Linked DNA regions of Caenorhabditis elegans. The protein of the gene in region 1 interacts with the protein of each later gene in a pairwise test. Each region holds a gene or a part of one and is shown on either strand. Other genes may lie near its edges.

The links. The genes of interacting proteins can lie anywhere in the genome.
Region 2: the proteins of F42H10.3 (region 1) and tag-343 interact in a two-hybrid assay, tested with the Caenorhabditis elegans proteins (one large-scale study listed by BioGRID).
Region 3: the proteins of F42H10.3 (region 1) and R08E3.3 interact in a two-hybrid assay, tested with the Caenorhabditis elegans proteins (one large-scale study listed by BioGRID).

The regions. Positions count from the first base shown.
Region 1 is NC_003281.10:8,482,603-8,488,874, forward strand, and holds F42H10.3 (LIM and SH3 domain protein F42H10.3), read left to right. Parts: upstream 1-1,550; 5' UTR 1,551-1,555; coding exon 1,556-1,725; intron 1,726-1,775; coding exon 1,776-1,860; intron 1,861-2,384; coding exon 2,385-2,477; intron 2,478-2,524; coding exon 2,525-2,621; intron 2,622-4,040; coding exon 4,041-4,139; intron 4,140-4,804; coding exon 4,805-4,918; intron 4,919-5,097; coding exon 5,098-5,291; intron 5,292-5,364; coding exon 5,365-5,520; 3' UTR 5,521-5,763; downstream 5,764-6,272. Other genes in the region: Splicing factor ESS-2, read right to left, coding at 5,854-6,217.
Region 2 is NC_003284.9:16,671,718-16,676,639, forward strand, and holds the start of tag-343 (RNA polymerase II-associated factor 1 homolog), read right to left. Parts: upstream 3,016-4,922; coding exon 2,934-3,015; intron 2,888-2,933; coding exon 2,748-2,887; intron 2,706-2,747; coding exon 2,596-2,705; intron 1,559-2,595; coding exon 1,426-1,558; intron 1,384-1,425; coding exon 1,224-1,383; intron 928-1,223; coding exon 845-927; intron 80-844; coding exon 1-79.
Region 3 is NC_003284.9:4,817,036-4,822,230, reverse strand, and holds R08E3.3 (CCDC22 N-terminal domain-containing protein), read right to left. Parts: upstream 3,639-5,195; 5' UTR 3,614-3,638; coding exon 3,564-3,613; intron 3,510-3,563; coding exon 3,447-3,509; intron 3,391-3,446; coding exon 3,279-3,390; intron 3,229-3,278; coding exon 3,102-3,228; intron 3,046-3,101; coding exon 2,933-3,045; intron 2,525-2,932; coding exon 2,258-2,524; intron 2,211-2,257; coding exon 2,088-2,210; intron 2,041-2,087; coding exon 1,927-2,040; intron 1,879-1,926; coding exon 1,777-1,878; intron 1,711-1,776; coding exon 1,504-1,710; coding exon of another isoform or gene 1,414-1,503; intron 1,137-1,413; coding exon 1,005-1,136; intron 961-1,004; coding exon 820-960; 3' UTR 516-819; downstream 1-515.

The DNA of each region.
Region 1 (6,272 bases):
AACAAAACTTACAAAAGTTTTTCAACGTCGTTTTTTGCACATTTTTCGAATTCCGTTCAGCTTCAATACATTTTTTTTCCAAATTGGGTTTCAATATAAAAAAAAAACGTTTGAAATTTCATACAAAATGATGATGCATCATCAACATGTTGTATGCACGGCTTCTTCCAAGTGTTCACTTTTCACTTTACACCGCTTCCCCATCTTCTCTTCGCCGCCGGCTCCGAGGATGCGACCCGTATCTTTCTTATGTGGAGGGAGCTATTTTAAACTCAAAACTACTTTTTCGAAAATGAGCTTCTCAATAGACTAGTACCCTTTGCTTCGTCTTCTTCTTTTTTAATAGTTTCTTGAGAGGTCATCTACAATCCTTTTGAACTACTTTCAAAAATGGACAGATGCCTGCTCATTTTTTTGAAATTTGGACTCATTATAAAAGTATTATTTCGTAATTTACCGAACATTTAAAACAAAAACTCCTTCAAATCAAAATAATTTTTCCGGTTCTCTGTAAAATTGAATATTAATTGAAGCAAAAACTATAGTTGGGCTCCGAAAATCGCAAAAAAAGAAATGGAGGACATTTAAATTTTCGGGAAATATTATATATATATATATATATATATATATATATATATTATTAAATATTATTATATTATTCATATCGCCTCCACTACACTTTTGTTCATATATTATAATACATTTTTCATTTTCTTCCCAAACCAACAATACGTTTACCGCAACTTAATCGTTTGCCAAAACAAACCAAGTTCCCTGATTTCACTGATATGTGTGATAACAATGTGAGTATGGAAAGTCAAAATGAGCACAAACATAAATGTGTGAGAGTTGTGTGTAGTGTCTTGTCGGGGAGTGAAGAAGGGGGCTCCATGAATAAATAACACATTCTTCTTTCCCGCTATTTCTCAATTTTTTACCCGAAATCTTTGTACAATCACCCTATCCGCCCATTTCATCCCTCGTTCGTTTCTCGCCTCGTTTACTTTTACTCATACATTTTTTTGTCTATCCGTCATTTTCCTACCATTCTACATCCAACCTAACCTAACCATTCAATTTATTTACTCTATCTGTCTATGTTTCTTTGTTTCGCCTTATCTATCATTTATGCCATACAACTTTCGTTCCCGTCCAAGGGTGAAACTTTCCAAAAAGCATAGAATTTGGAAAGTATTTCCAAATTATAAATTAAAAAAAAATTTTGTTTTGTCTTAAAAGTTAGAATTATAAAGATTAAGGTTCAGCAAAGATAATACCTCAAATTGACAGATTTAATATTAAAATTTTCCGAAAAACCCAAATTTGATTTATTTAAACTGGCAACTTTTAATTTTACCACACATAATTTTATAAACCCAAAAATATATGTTTTTATTCTGATAGGGTAAAAATATGTGACAATTCTCAAAACTCTTATGAATTTTACCAATTTTTGCCAATTTACAAAAACATTATTATGATTTCTATTTGTATTTTTTTCTAGTTTATTCAAATATCTTCAATCTTCATATTCTACAGTTTTTATTTCCAGAAAATGAGCAAAAAGTGTGCTCGCGAAGATTGCGGGAAGACGGTATATCCAGTTGAGGAACTGAAATGTCTTGATAAAGTTTGGCACAAGCAATGCTTCAAATGCACTGTTTGCGGAATGACATTGAATATGAAAAACTATAAGGGATACGACAAGAGACCGTATTGTGATCCGTTAGTTTTTATGAGAATATTTCAATTTCTAAATTTTCAACTATTTTCAGACATTATCCAAAAACCGTGGCTTCAGTGATGGCGGATACTCCAGAAATGAGAAGAATCGCAGAGAATACTAAAAATCAGAGTAACGTAAGTTTTTGCAAAAAATTTAGAGAAAAAATAAATCGTCTCCCCATAAATCTCATTTATAATTAAAAAATATAACATTTGAGAATGTTATCCCAAAAATTGTAAAGAGTTTTTAAAATTCTTCCAAAAAATATCTGTAAAATATTTGTAAAATCAAAATCAAAAATATTATAAAATCTACACAAATAAATTTTGTCGAATTCGGCACTTAAAAAATTTGTAGTGGTGTCAAATTATGGATTCTCAAAAAAAGGATCTCGCCACGGAAACTACTGTAAATCAAGTTTTCTTGAAGAGTTCTAATATAATGTTCATCTTAGTATATAATGAGAATTTTCCATACTAAAAATGTAAAAATTAACTCAAATTTGAGTTTATAAAATATACGAAATTTTCAAATTCTTCGAGTTTCCAAAATTTCGAAAAAACACAAAAAAAACTATAAACAAAATAGCTAGTTTTATTCAATAAAACCTGCTACTTCCTATAACTGATTTTCAAATTTTCATAATCTGAAATTTTAGATCAAATACCACGCCGAATACGAGAAAATGAAGGGAACAAAGATCGAAATTGCTGATGATCCAGAGATGGAAAGACTGAAGAAAAATACTCAGGTTGGAAATAAATTTTTAAAGATAGAATAGAATAATGCTATTTTAAGGTTCAATCAAATGTTTCCTATCACGGAGTTCTCGACCAAAAAGCTCGTCAAGAAGAAGTCCGTCCAAAAGAGGAAATCTCACCAAACCCAACTCCAAGTAAGTTGTTCTTCCATTTTGTTGTCCCCATGGACTTGAGAATTGTATCGTCCAAGTTATGTCAAAAGTCTTGCACGGGAAAAACTTTTAATTCTTTTTTCAATTTTCCTCACTTTTCTCTTATTGTTTTTGTATCGCTTTTTACTGCCAGTTTATCAACTGGTCACTGGAAATGGAGGAGTTGTGTATGGAATTGGAGTGGCAATGGTTCAAGAAACTGAAGAGAAGTATGAAGAAAAAGAAGTTGATGAGGAAGAAGAAGACGATGATTATTGGCAAATTCCGGTGATTGTATATCCTAGATAGAATTCGCTTTTTTTTTAGAATTAGTTTTCAATGTTTCTTTTTTCATATTTACCATATTCTCTGAAACTGTACTGGAAACATTTTGTACACTTTTGGCACATTTTGAGGGGAAATATGGTATATCGATATCTAGATTAGATACGTTTTGTTTGTTTTCTTCTACCTCATCTTTGCTTTTTTCAGCTAGCCATAATTCTAGAGCAGATATTTATAATCAATCTTAAAGTGTTCTTGCTCAAAGCTGAAAGAAAATTACTAAAGACTCTCGCTTATTGAAAATTGTAAAAACTATGTGGGACAAGTTCTTGCCAAATTTTGGCAAAAGTATTAACTTGGTTGTTGCTCTAGGTCGCGCCAATATTCAGTCCAAAATTGGTCTAACAATATATATAGCCAAATTTGACATGACAAATTTTGAATCAAATATTTTTATCAGGATTAGGTTAATCTAAACTTAAGTTTTGTCCAGATTTGGACTAAACTTTGCCAACTTTTCAGCCAGGTACATACTTTTTTAGGCCAAACAGATAACAGAGTTTTCTTCTAAAAAAATAACACTGTTTTTAAAGAAGAATATCTTAGATGTTCTACAATTGAAAAAGCAAACTTGCAGTGTTGTTTCTAGAAAGCTGAATTCTTCATTCAGTTAGTATATAGAATTATAGAAAACTTTCCAAAATGGCTTTGAGTGAAAATACTTTTTAGATTGAACTTTAATTTTCAACTTCTTTTCGTGTCATATCAATGTCCTAATGTTCACTTATTTCTCAAATCTCTTCATTTGTTTCATACAAAATACACCTTCAGGTGTTGTTGTTCCACCACAACCCACTGAGCCCACTCCAGCTCCATCCGTCCCAGTTATTGACCAAAAGCCGAAAGCAGTCAAATCGACTTTTAAGAAAGGGCCAGCCAAAACTGTTAAAGCTTAATTTTCCTTTCAGTTCGATTTCTGATCATGACTATTATTTTTCTATCTATTCAAATCCTACATTAACCATGACAAACTGATTTTTTCAATAAAGAATACATTTAATTAAAGAATTATTTCCAACAAATCAATCTTCTCCATTTTTCAACTCACTTTTTTTTTCCACTAACCATTTATTGCAGCTCCAATCTCTCCAATGAACCATCAATCATATTCGGCTCCAACACAAGCAGTAGCCGCAAATACGCATTTGATCTACTCAACAGAGCAAGGTGGAGCAGGTTAGTTAGCAATTGAATTGATTAATGAGCATCCAAAAAGAGCACCTTGTGTATTGAAAAACTGATTGAATGCCTATAAAAGTTATTGCTGATTTTGTTGCTGATTTTTGTACGGATACATTATTTGACCAAAAATTAAGATAATGCTAGGTCTCAGTCTAAGCCTAGCCTAAGTCTAAGCCTAAGCCTAAGCCTAACCTCTTAAAAAGTTACAATAAGGTTTTTCCTTGCGCTTGGAGCGCAAAAGAAAAGAAAAAGAGCTATTTAGACTTAGGGTGCCCAACTGGAATAAAATATAGGAAATCCTTATGACACACTTAAGCCTAAGGGCCCGAAAAAAAACTAGGATGCCCAACTGGAATAAAATATTGGAAATCCTTATGACACACTTAAGCCTAAAGGGCCGAAAAACATACTAGGATGCCCAACTGGAATAAAATATTGGAAATCCTTATGACACACCGGCGGTATGGCGCGGCTTCAGCCTAAATAGCCACTTTTATCGCGCGTCAGTGGGGGAGCTAACGCTCCCCCACTGACGCCAAGCCTAAGCCTTGTCTAATTTATGGTATCTAGTTATATAAAGTCCAAATTTTTCGTTGTGCTTCATGTGTAATTTTCTAAAAGCTTTTGTGTTGTGCATTGTTATTTTTCTTCGCTTTCAGTATCTCCAACACCACAAAAATCAATCGGAAGTATTGCTGACTATGATCCAATGAACGGACAATGGGGTACAGCTGCTGCTCAACCGAGAAATTCCGAGAAACTTGGATATTTGAGTAAGGATTTTGTTTTTTTTTTTGGCTTTTGTTTGAATGATTTGCTCATTTGTAATCCACACAAATTTTTTGCACGTTTTGGTACTTATTAATTCGTTTTGTGGAAGAAATAATCTTTTAAAAAGCTCATTTTGAATAATTTTGATCTGTCATTAATTGAAACTAACCGCTTGTTGCAGAGGCTCAAGTGGATAAAGGTCCGGCAAGATTTTGTGCGGATTTTGCAGGAGCTCCACCTCCATCATCAAATAGTATATCTTCAACATCTCCACATTCAACACTTTCTTCTCCACAAAGCACAATTTCACCGACTGGAAAAGCTGGATTTGCAGTTAAGGCAATTTATGATTACGCTGCTGCTGATAAAGACGAGGTAAATTTAAATTAGGTTTTCAACCAGTTTCACGATGAAAATTTATTCAACCATCTAAAATATTTGATTCCAGATTTCATTCCTCGAAGGTGATATCATCGTGAACTGCGAGAAAATTGATGATGGATGGATGACAGGAACAGTTCAACGAACTCTTCAATGGGGAATGCTACCTGCAAATTATGTTCAACCACATAAACTTCCTACCGGATTGCACCGACTTTCTTAATATTTCCAAACCCACGCACATTTTCTATCTCTCCATGACCTGCTCTTGCTCACACATTTCCCCTAAATGCTTCAATTATGCTTCAGGCTTCTGCAGTTATTTTTTCAACTTTCTGAAAATCCCACAAACGGGTTCTGTTCACCTTCTGAATGCCTTTTCTCCATTTGTTTTTCAATCTTCTAAAATGTTATATGGTGCTGAAATTTAAAAATTAAAAATTATAATAAATGAATTTACTATCAATTATTAGGCCATTGTCATAAATAATAAACCGTGTCTATAAGGCACATGAGAACAAAATATACAGATCTAAATTATACTAATCTTATAATATTAGAAAAAGTCTCCAGCATTTGCTCTATCTGCAGCTCCGGCTGATGTTGAAGGTCCGACGTTATCCCCTTTTCTTCGGATCATAGATTCAATCCCAGGTGTGCCAGGAGTTTGTGCTCCTTGGCTCCAAGATGATCCAGGTGTAGTAGAACCACGACTCCATGCAGAACCAGGAGTTGTGGATCGCTTTGAACTTGACGGTCTTGACCAATTCGACATGATTTTCGGCGAGGCGAAAGGAGATTTGTGAGCAGGTAACATTTTTAATCCAAGCTTCTTGGTTGCCAACTTTTGAGCAGCAGGAGATAATTGTGCAAGCTTGTCTGAGACTCGCTTGGATCCAAATCCAGGTGTTCGGCTGAAACTTTACCAAGTTGAAAATTATTTGAAGTACTATTATCTCGTTATAGATTTTAATA
Region 2 (4,922 bases), on another chromosome or scaffold:
AGTTTTGTCCAGACTCCTGAACTCCATAGATACCATCATCCACAAATGGGAGACCCGAGATTGTGATTGGGGTGGTTTCCTGAAATTTAAAAATTTTCTTAAGTTTAGTAGTTTTTAGACACCAAAATTGCAATACTTCTTGGCTGAAAATGTACCACTATCCACAAAGTAAATATTGTTTGGAAATTGTTAAAAACCACTCCTTTGGTCCCAAAATGACCAAATATCATGATAAAACTTTTCAAACATTTTTTGAAAATTTTTTATGTACTGTCAAAGAGTGGAAATTACTCAGTTTTTGCCATTCATATTTTTGGAAGTCGACCAAAAAAAAATTTTTTTTCGACATTTTTTATGTTTTAATTTTGTTTAAATTTTTTGTATGAAAGCATCGGAGGTGTCGAAACATGCGGAATTGCTTTGGATTTCCTCAAAAGCTCGTATTTTTGAAAATTTTGACAACTTGCCAAAACTTTGACTGAAAATTACGAAAAACCTAAAATTTTTGGAGTGTATTATTATGATATTCGGTTGTTTCGGGTAATTTTAAGTACATTTAGACAAAATCCCCACTGGCGCTATTCCACCTTTAAGTTAAAAAGAGTTGTGAATTTTTTTGCAATGTTTCATCACGATAGGTTTTGGGAGCTATTATGAGTATTTTGAGGCAATACAAAAACGTTTCTATACTCCACTTTTGTTTACAAATTATCAACTACATATCAGTTGAAAGTTTTGAACAATTAGCTGGCTGAGAAATCAAACAATTTCAAGCCTTCAAAAGATACCAGGTCCAAATTGTAAATATCTCCTATTTAGGCAAAAAAGTGCCATTGAAAAGTACCTGTACTTTCTCCATGAAAGAATCGAATTGATTTACAGACATTTTCCAATATCTCCTCCGATGTTCGTCATTCAGCCGATCTTCTGAAATTATTAGAACGTTTTCTTTGCAATTCCCACACTGGTAGGTACAGGAAAAAACAAATATCGCCGGATTGGCAGTTTATTTTTCTAGCGATTCGCCAGCCCGAAAATGTTTGATTTAAATGGTCGTCACGTTTTACGAGAAAAGAGGGCGAAAAATGGAGAGAGATGGAAAGTGATAATTCTTATCGAGAGCACTCAATGCCAAAAACTATTCGGTCTGTTTACAACTTTTAACACGGCGCGAGAAAGCTATGCAAACGCTGAATCAATACAAAAATTTCAATCACACTCACCCATTTGTTTTTGAAATGTACAAGACGTGTTGATAGTGAACTTGGGACACTCTGATAAACCGAATCTTCGTAAAAGAGGCTCGAAAGTTCTGGAGCCGTCGGACGCTGTGATGAACACAACAATACTGTTGCGTACATGTTCTGGAAGATTGGAGAGAACCTGGAAATGTGAAAGTAGGATCTGAAGTCAAGTTCTAGATACCTGTTGCAGTTCGTCTTCTTCGTGCATGCTCATTCTGTGCAACTGTGAGAACACAATTGCAATAACGTCCAGTCTCATCTTCCAATTGTTAAGAAGCCATTTATGTATTAAAGATGGCGAATCGAAACCATCACTGAAATTTAATTATTATTGTATTTTTTTAATCCAAGTTGTATATTTTTTGTACTGTAAAAATTACTGTCTTAAGAGTTTTCTGCATTTTTCGTAAAGTTAGTGGTTAAAAAATTTTGAAATACATTGCAATAAACAATTGAAATACATTATGTATTTTTTTTAATTTAGTAGATTAACCAAAGTAGACAGATATTATCATCATAAAAGCTCCTAACAGAGGAGGATTTTACAAGTTCTGGCTAAATTTGTAAAAAGAAACACCCGTCGTACGGCTATTTAAACTACTAGGATCATTTATCTGGAAGGAATAAAATGATTATCACGTATTTAAAAAAAAACAAAATAGTATAAGATTTTCAATAAAGTGTTAAAAAACACACAAAAAAATGGCTGAGAAAATGCAAAACGTAAGCTATGCTCCTATTATGAAATCTTCAACAATTAAAATTTTTGCAATTTTAGAATTTTGAACAGAAGAGTTGCCGATAATTTAAATCATATAATTTCGAAATAATGAATTCAAAACCTATAGAAATCTAAAAGTAAGGTCCCTAGAAACCCCAAAAACTATTGAACACCTTATAAAACAAGAAGAGTTCTTTTTAGTCCTGTTTACATTTACTTTGATTTACGACCAGATAACAAGTCGAGATTTTACGACCTGTTGTTGGCCTAATGGTAGAAGACAGTGGTTAAATGACATGGACCTCTCCATCGCCACAGCAAAATTGTACATTTGATTATGACTGCTATGAGGGACTTAGAGGGACGGTCCTTTTGTTCCCAATAAGAGCCTACATTCAATAGTACATTAAATACATAACTGGGTTTGAACATTTGACACTGCTCTAAGTTTCAAGAAAATGGTAAAGTTTTGGCCAATTTAGTTTTAATTTAATTTTAATTTGTACCAGAAACCCAAAGTCGGTAGATATCCTATTTCTTGTTTTAACATTAATTCTAAGAATAATTTATTATGCTCATTGGAATTTGCAACTTTTATGATTTTTTCCCAATTTTGAAAAAAAAACCTACTATGTATCTCCACACGCGATCATATCCAGAATTACAGGACGAACCGACATTTTTGTTTCGTTAAAAATATAGCACTGTACAGGTTTTGTAGGAGTTTCCGAGTTGAATTTCTGCAATTCAATACTTACTTTTTCATATTACAATTGTAATACTTCATTGGAAATGTGAAATCTCCTTTGATCCATTGAATCCACTCCATAAAAATAATTACACAAAAAATCGATAAGTTCTGACTTTTGAGAACTTGTTGGTCCTAACAATAAGACTACCCGGTTTTCGCGTTCTTCGTTGTCTGAAAAAAAAAACAGTAAAATTCTCAAGATAATTAAGACTCCAACCTTCCTTCGCCGAGACAAATACAGTCCTAACATCCTTCTGTTCGAGAGCTTCACCCACAAATTTCGAGTCTGGGGAGATCATGTCCTCGAGCAGAGGAGTATCGGAAAGTGCTCTACAAGTTTTGATCAGTTATTTGAGTTGGGATGTGTTGCGGCGTACAAAATGTATAATATGCAAAATGTTTGTTTTGGTCATCGCAGTTTAGTTAAACTTTCATGAAGTGTAAGGTTTCGATTTGAACTGCAATAGTTTTTGAATAGGGCAAAAAGAAATTGTAGGGTTTAAAATACTATTAACCAGAACACAAAATTTAACCCTTGAAATAAGCAGTTTTTTACCCTGCACTTATTAATTTAACAAGAGAGCATTCGGATAACTTATATATTGTCAACAACACTACAAAAAACATTCGAGAAAAGATGAAAACAAATTGTTTTAAAAAAACTTTTTTGAAACATCGGAGAAAAATATAATTTCTACGTTTGAATTTTGAGAAAATTTTAAAAAATCGCCAAAAAATAATATTTGCCATAATACTAAATCTGGCTGAGATCTTAAAATTATTTTCAGAAAGTACTAAAAATCTGCAACAAATCTGCTGAAAAATTGAGAAAAAGGATTGTCGCCGTCAAACGACCTTACTTGAAGTTTTGAAAAATCTATTTTTCTCCTAATAATTATATTTCCTTTTCTAACGCAAATTCTGGGATACCTAATTAAATTGTGATGATATTCTCTAAAGAACTGAAAACCTGCACTAAAACTATTATAAAAGAAACATTTTTAATTATGCAGAGATAATATGGTGATGCAAGTTATTATTTTATAAATTGAGTCGTCAGTTAAAAAGGGGATGAACTAATCTCAACGTCAGTTAGAAAGAACATATTTTAAAGTTTCAAAAAAAAACTAATGTAGAAAAAATCGAACATTTCATTTTGCACAAACACGTTGAGTCACAAATGTGGGGTTGCCGAGCTGTGAAAGTGCACACGCAAAGAAACAAAAACTGTTCTTATCATCAAAACCAATGATAATTATTTTATTCCTATTCTACCGCTTATGTTTTTAAGTATAACGGTACTAGATCAGAATCAAAGACCTGTTGCGAAACTGTATGTTAGGGCACTTAAAACATCTTCAGCTAGCACTAAAATTCCAGGAAATTTTCGATTTAACCATGTTTGTATTGTATTCCTCACTGCGAATTCCACCACACTGATAACTCATTCCTGTCAACACACGTACACACATACCTGATCATTTTATAGCCGAATACTTTCCGTTAGGTTGGCTGTAAATCAGCGTTGAGAAGTCATAAATCGGTTATGGTCTTGACGTAAAAGTGAGAAAAATGATACATGATGATGGGTGATAATAGTGATAATAGAGGAGAAGAGAACATATCATATTTGGTAGTAGGATTGAAACCTGTTTTTTTTGTTCGATAACCTCCAGCAGCTACACGATTCATATAATTATTACGCCATTGCAGTGTATAAGGTGTACATGTATGGGTGTCCTTGTCACCACTTTTTGATCGAACGCTTCCCAAATTGAATGGTGAAACGGTACAGTGAAAGCAATAAAGTGTGAAGTACAGCTTGTTAAGAATGTTCTGCAAGACTTGTTTAATAATTATAGTTACAAACTCAAAAACTTTTGAAAAAATATTATGGTGGACACTCAGCCAAATAACTGAAAAATTGACTACTAGCTCGAAAACGATAATAAATTAAAAAAAAAACTATTGTATGTAGGATATAGAAAATTTTTCACGGAGGTTATCTTTTTCACAGTTATGAATAAACTTATTGTTTAGACACTCACACCAGTGAGCATATTTGCATTTTAGTTAAATGCGAGGGGGCAGATAGCTCAGTCGGTAGTGGTGGCCGCTAGCAGTCTGGAGGTCACGAGTTCAAGTCCGGCCTCACCCCCTAGGTTTACCCAGCCTCTATTGGGAAGTGGAGCAATCCACGACAGGA
Region 3 (5,195 bases), on another chromosome or scaffold:
CATCAATCAAAAAAAATTCCTTCAATTTTTACGGTTTAATTATGTTCCGAACGATAATATTCAAACATTGTAGAGAATCGAACATGCGACAGTGCTGTAGTTTTCTCAAAAAGTGACAAAACCTCAGTAATTGCCACTTGTTGCCTGTCACTGAAAAAAAAATTCTGGAAAAGTTTAACTGTGATATGGTATTTTTGGCGCCATATGATTGGTTTTAAACAACATCGGAGCAACTCATGTTGAACTTCTTTCAAAAAACTTTTTTTAGAAACAAATGTTCACTAAAAATTGTTACCCAATTTTTTTGACTTCCTATTATAATACAAATTTTTCTTTCACCGCACTCTAAAAATTATCAAAAAGTGCTGAACCACACCTGTTCCCCTAAAAATTACGAGCGTCATTTTGATTCAAACGACAATCAGTGGAAGCTTTGAACATTTGAAAAAAAAGTGACGTCATAATTCTTCCCGTTGATAAGACTCTTAATTTTTCGCTCACTCATCTAAAGATGGTTTACAAAGAAAATTTTCATTGAACTAGAATGATACTAAAAAAATTTTCTTACAACATTTCGGTTTAACACACAAACAAACAAAAAGTCAATAAAATAATTAGAAAAAAATGAAGTGAATGGCAAATGACAGCGGAGCGTTGAGAGGAACAAAAATATGCTTGTTTGATCCAACTTTGATCACAGTATAAGGTTATTCCTATCCAAAAGTTAAAAAAAACAGGATCACAAATTAATCCGTAAAACAAAGATATGCTTAAAAAGATATGAAAAAAAAACGAAAAAATTTCGATTATGAGTTGCATTTAGGTGGTTGGCATTTGGAAGTCAGGCTTTTTGAGACGGATTTCAGAAAACAGTTGGTCATTCAAGTCGCTGATTTCTTGATAGTCCTGATGCAACAGTTCAAACTGTTTGTCGTACTGCTTCTGCTCCTCGACATAAATCTGAAAGAAAATTGTACTTTAAACAACTAAAAAAGAGCAAAAACCTCTGATTGAAGGATTCCAACTGCTTGTTTCAGAGCACCGTTTTCTCTTAACATCTCCAGAATCTCCATGCAATACAAATGAATTCGTGTGAATGATTCCATGGCCAGGCGTCCACGATAATGATCGCAATGCTAAAATATGAATAGTTAAAATGAATAGGAGTAGTGCACTTGGGAATATCGTCCAAATACCCCTTTAAAAATTTTGATGGACATTGACCATGAAATTTTTTTTGTTTTGCGCATATTCTAAAAATCACGCAATTGGCCAATCAAGACCTAAAGCTGGGACGCGCAAAAAAAATTAATTTTTTTCTTTAAAATTTGAAAAATAGCGGAAAATATCCAAGAATATACATTACAAGGCCGCTCATAAATAGATACTGAAAATTCTTCTGAAAGTTTTATTTTATTTTATTTTATTTTTTTCCATGGAAGACCCTTCTAAAACAGCCCTTCTCAGATAACTATGCGAGAAATAAGAGCAAGAAATTTTAACCTGAAGAAGAATATTGTAGATGATAGCAAACGATCTGTTGACCGCCTCGCTTTCTCGTTCTTCTTGCTTTCGGAGTGCATGCCGTTCCTCTTGCATTTTCACCATGTCTTGCTCTTGTTTCCGAACCATCGCATCCAGTTCTTTACTTCTTTGCTCGAGTACGTACATGCTTTGCACATCATCATCAATTTTTGACAGCTTCTTTCTCTGAAAATATTACCGTATATGTTATTCAAAGATTTTTTGGCTACAGCTGATTAAACTTAAACTTACAAGCTTTTCAGCTAACATCACGTTACTTTCAATCCTCTCATCAACACCTTCCAAATCTGCTTCCATTTCTTGAATTCGCCTTATTTCTTCATCATCCGTACCCTGGAATTTAAACTTTTTTAAACTTCTGAAGGCATAATTTTCTCATACCAAGTTTTTCAGTTCCTCTCTCATTTGCAGTTTCTTCTGAGCATTGGCTTGTTTTGTGTTCTCAATTATCTGCGTGTCTTCTTCCATTTGCTTATTTAATTCAGCAATTTTGCCCTGAAAATGAAAAGTTATCTCAAAACTAGATGTACCTAGCAACTAACCATCAACTTCTGAACGTATGCTTCTGGGTCATCAAGAGCTTCAATAAGTTCTGGCTTGTATTTTGATAGCTTATTTTCGAGCTCTCTGTTTTGCTCTTCAAACTGCGAGCGTTTCTCTTGTAACTGAAATAGTTAGTATGAAATTTTGACACTTTCAATGACAAACTAACAGCTTTATACTCTGCAAGTTTCTGCTCATATTCAGCTTGTAAAACTAAGTTTTCATTATTTTCTTCCGTCGCTTCTTCAACAGTTTCTTCTTCCTTATCGACTTTTTTGGCAAAAATTGGCTTTGGTGGAAGTGCAGGCTTTGTCAGCTTGAAGTTGAAGTCTTTCTCTGTGTGACTGGAGTTTATGTATTGCGAAATCCATTTTCTAGGATCAGAGTTTGGGATGGGTTTATTGAAGTTGCAAAGTGGGAAGGTTTCCGGAGTATTCTGAAAAAAATAGATTAAAAACTCTAAATTCAAGTTTTCAAGTTCTTGTTCGAAATAAAACTGTTTGTTTCATAGAAAATTAGACAATTAATGTCAGAGTCCAGAAAAAAGTTTTGATAATTTGAAATTAGCATTCAATCAAGCTCAGAAATTTGAAAAGTGCTCAAAAATGGTATGAAGGATGTCAATCAAGTTTGATAATTCGATAATTGGCAATTGTTAAATTTCAAGCTACCTTTGAGTACATTCTCAAGTGCTTCAGTTAAAGTGAAACTTTTTTTTAGATAAATCGTCTTTTCTATATTTTCACACTAATTATTAATGAATAATGTCGGTACAACAATACATTCGGCTTTTTGTTTCAGAGTTTAGCTTCAATTCAAATTTCAAAAAAAAAATTCCACACACATTTGGCAATTTCCATTCCCGATTTCTGTTCAATCCACGACAGTACACAGGAACCCATTCTGGTTGTGATTTCTCGTGTTTGACTACACTTTCCAGAAACTGATGACCCTGGTCTGAAATCAATCTTTTTTTTTAAATTTTTTTTAATGAAGTGAAGATTAGTGTTTACCTAGAGAAACGGCCTCTTGTGCGTCGGCCGGCAATTTCCTTATCAGTTCAATGAATGCACTGCGAAGATTGTTGATATTGCCGTATAAAACTGTGTGAAGGGCGGTGTCTCCGCGAATGTGAAATTTCTGAAATGAAAGGAATTATAAAGTTGAGATTAGTCAGGGGTTGACGTTACCTGCAGATAGTTAGAAATTGCGTTTCCAAGTTGCAGCCTGGTAGTTATAACTTTTGGATATACATATGACGAAATTGTTTGTTTACTACTATTATCTATTTTCCAAATACATCTGAAATATTGTGAATAAAAAATTAATAAAACGAAATCAAAAATAATAAATATTACCTTACTAAAAACTCAAAAATCTGAGGTGTGCTGAATTCTATTTCATCTTCATCAGCAAACGAGCTGAAAATAATAATATTTTAAAGAATAAAATTAGATTTCAGACAAAAAACATACCACTCAAGATGTCGGCAAGCGTCTCTGATGAAAGCATCAGCTTCCTCCATTTTCCGCAGGTGAAATTCCCTGAAAACAAAATAAATAGTGTTAAATGTTCATGTATATATTAGTGATAAAAGATTTCAGTGGTATATAAACAAATAAAAACAATTTGTAAAACATAGATAGTGAAAAAGAAAAAAATCTGCATTGCGTCCGATGCGCAGAATTCTACGACATTTGTTTACCGTAGTCTAAAAAAGAAGGCAACACACGGGGGATGGACACAGAGTGACCTAGTGACGGTGGTAATATTTGTGAGGCATGAAAGTTATTTTTCGAGAATTAATTTTGAATGTGAAACTATTCATTTTTACTTAAATACAAACACCGAGATCATATTTGCGCAAATTTAAGCATAATTTAAAACAAGATGTCATGAAGCTTTCTGTGCTACAGGCATTTTTGAACTTTTGAAAGTAATTTTTTTTAATTAATGGTTTTTCATAATTCAAATGAAAAGATTGAGGTTTGCACATTTTAAGAGCACCATTTTTGTTGCGAGGGCGAAAAACCACATTTCTTAACTTCTGCAACAAAAATTCGACAATAAAGCATTGTTTAACTTACAAGGAAAGTTTTTAAACTCACTTTAAAAAAACTCTCTAAAAAGGTTTATGCAAAAGTATCGCAACAGAGAAACACTATGAGCTGATATAAAGCCGACCTGAAAAATAAGGCCCGCAAAATTCCTAACAGAATTTTATTCCTAGTGTTTTCAAGTCTTAAACGCTCCTCAGTCGCTATACTTTCAGTTTTTTTTTGTCAAAAGTTTCCATTACTAAATATTTTGAAAATACTAATTACCAAAAGTCAGATTTACAGGTAAAATATTTTTTGTGGTAGAATTTTTCTTATACTTCACTGAAATTCGAGAAAAACTCCGCCTCGAATATATGTTATGGACATCAATTGAATTAAAAATTGCATTTTCTGCATACATTTATAGTTTGGACAATTTCCAGTTTGGTTGAAAACTCAAAAGAACAGCATGATCCAGAGAAACAAATTAGTGCGGAATATTGTCTCTTGGGGATATAAGTTCCAATTAGAGTCTGATTCATTTGTCTGCATTTTTGATATTTTAATTCAAATTTGCTCAATCGCAACCATATTCTCACATTTTCCGTTATTGTTTGTTTCAATAAGTTGTTTGGAACTATTAAAAGCAAAACTCTTAAGAAAGAGAATCCCACAAAAAGGCAATTGCATGGATGTCCTGAAAAACCGAATTTACTAAACAATTTGCATGTTGTTTAAAATTTTTCTAGTTTCAGTTATGCAAAACGTTAATAGAATTCTATGACTCACTAGAGTGATAATTGAAAAATCTCCGCCGAATCAATGAACTCTAGTGTATTTACATTATTACGCTGCCAGATTTACAACATCCATAGTGGGAATGACGACAAGTGTGAAAAAGGTCGTAAAGTGAACAGCTGGATGTGTTGGCGACCCGTAAAAGGTCAGTTTACTCTATGAGTACAATATTTTTGCGGCCGTACATTTTTTGGCGAAAACAACTACTATCGATTTCAAAATTTTGATGTTTTCGTGGTTTCATAGTGGCACCTGCTGGCTAGGTCTCAG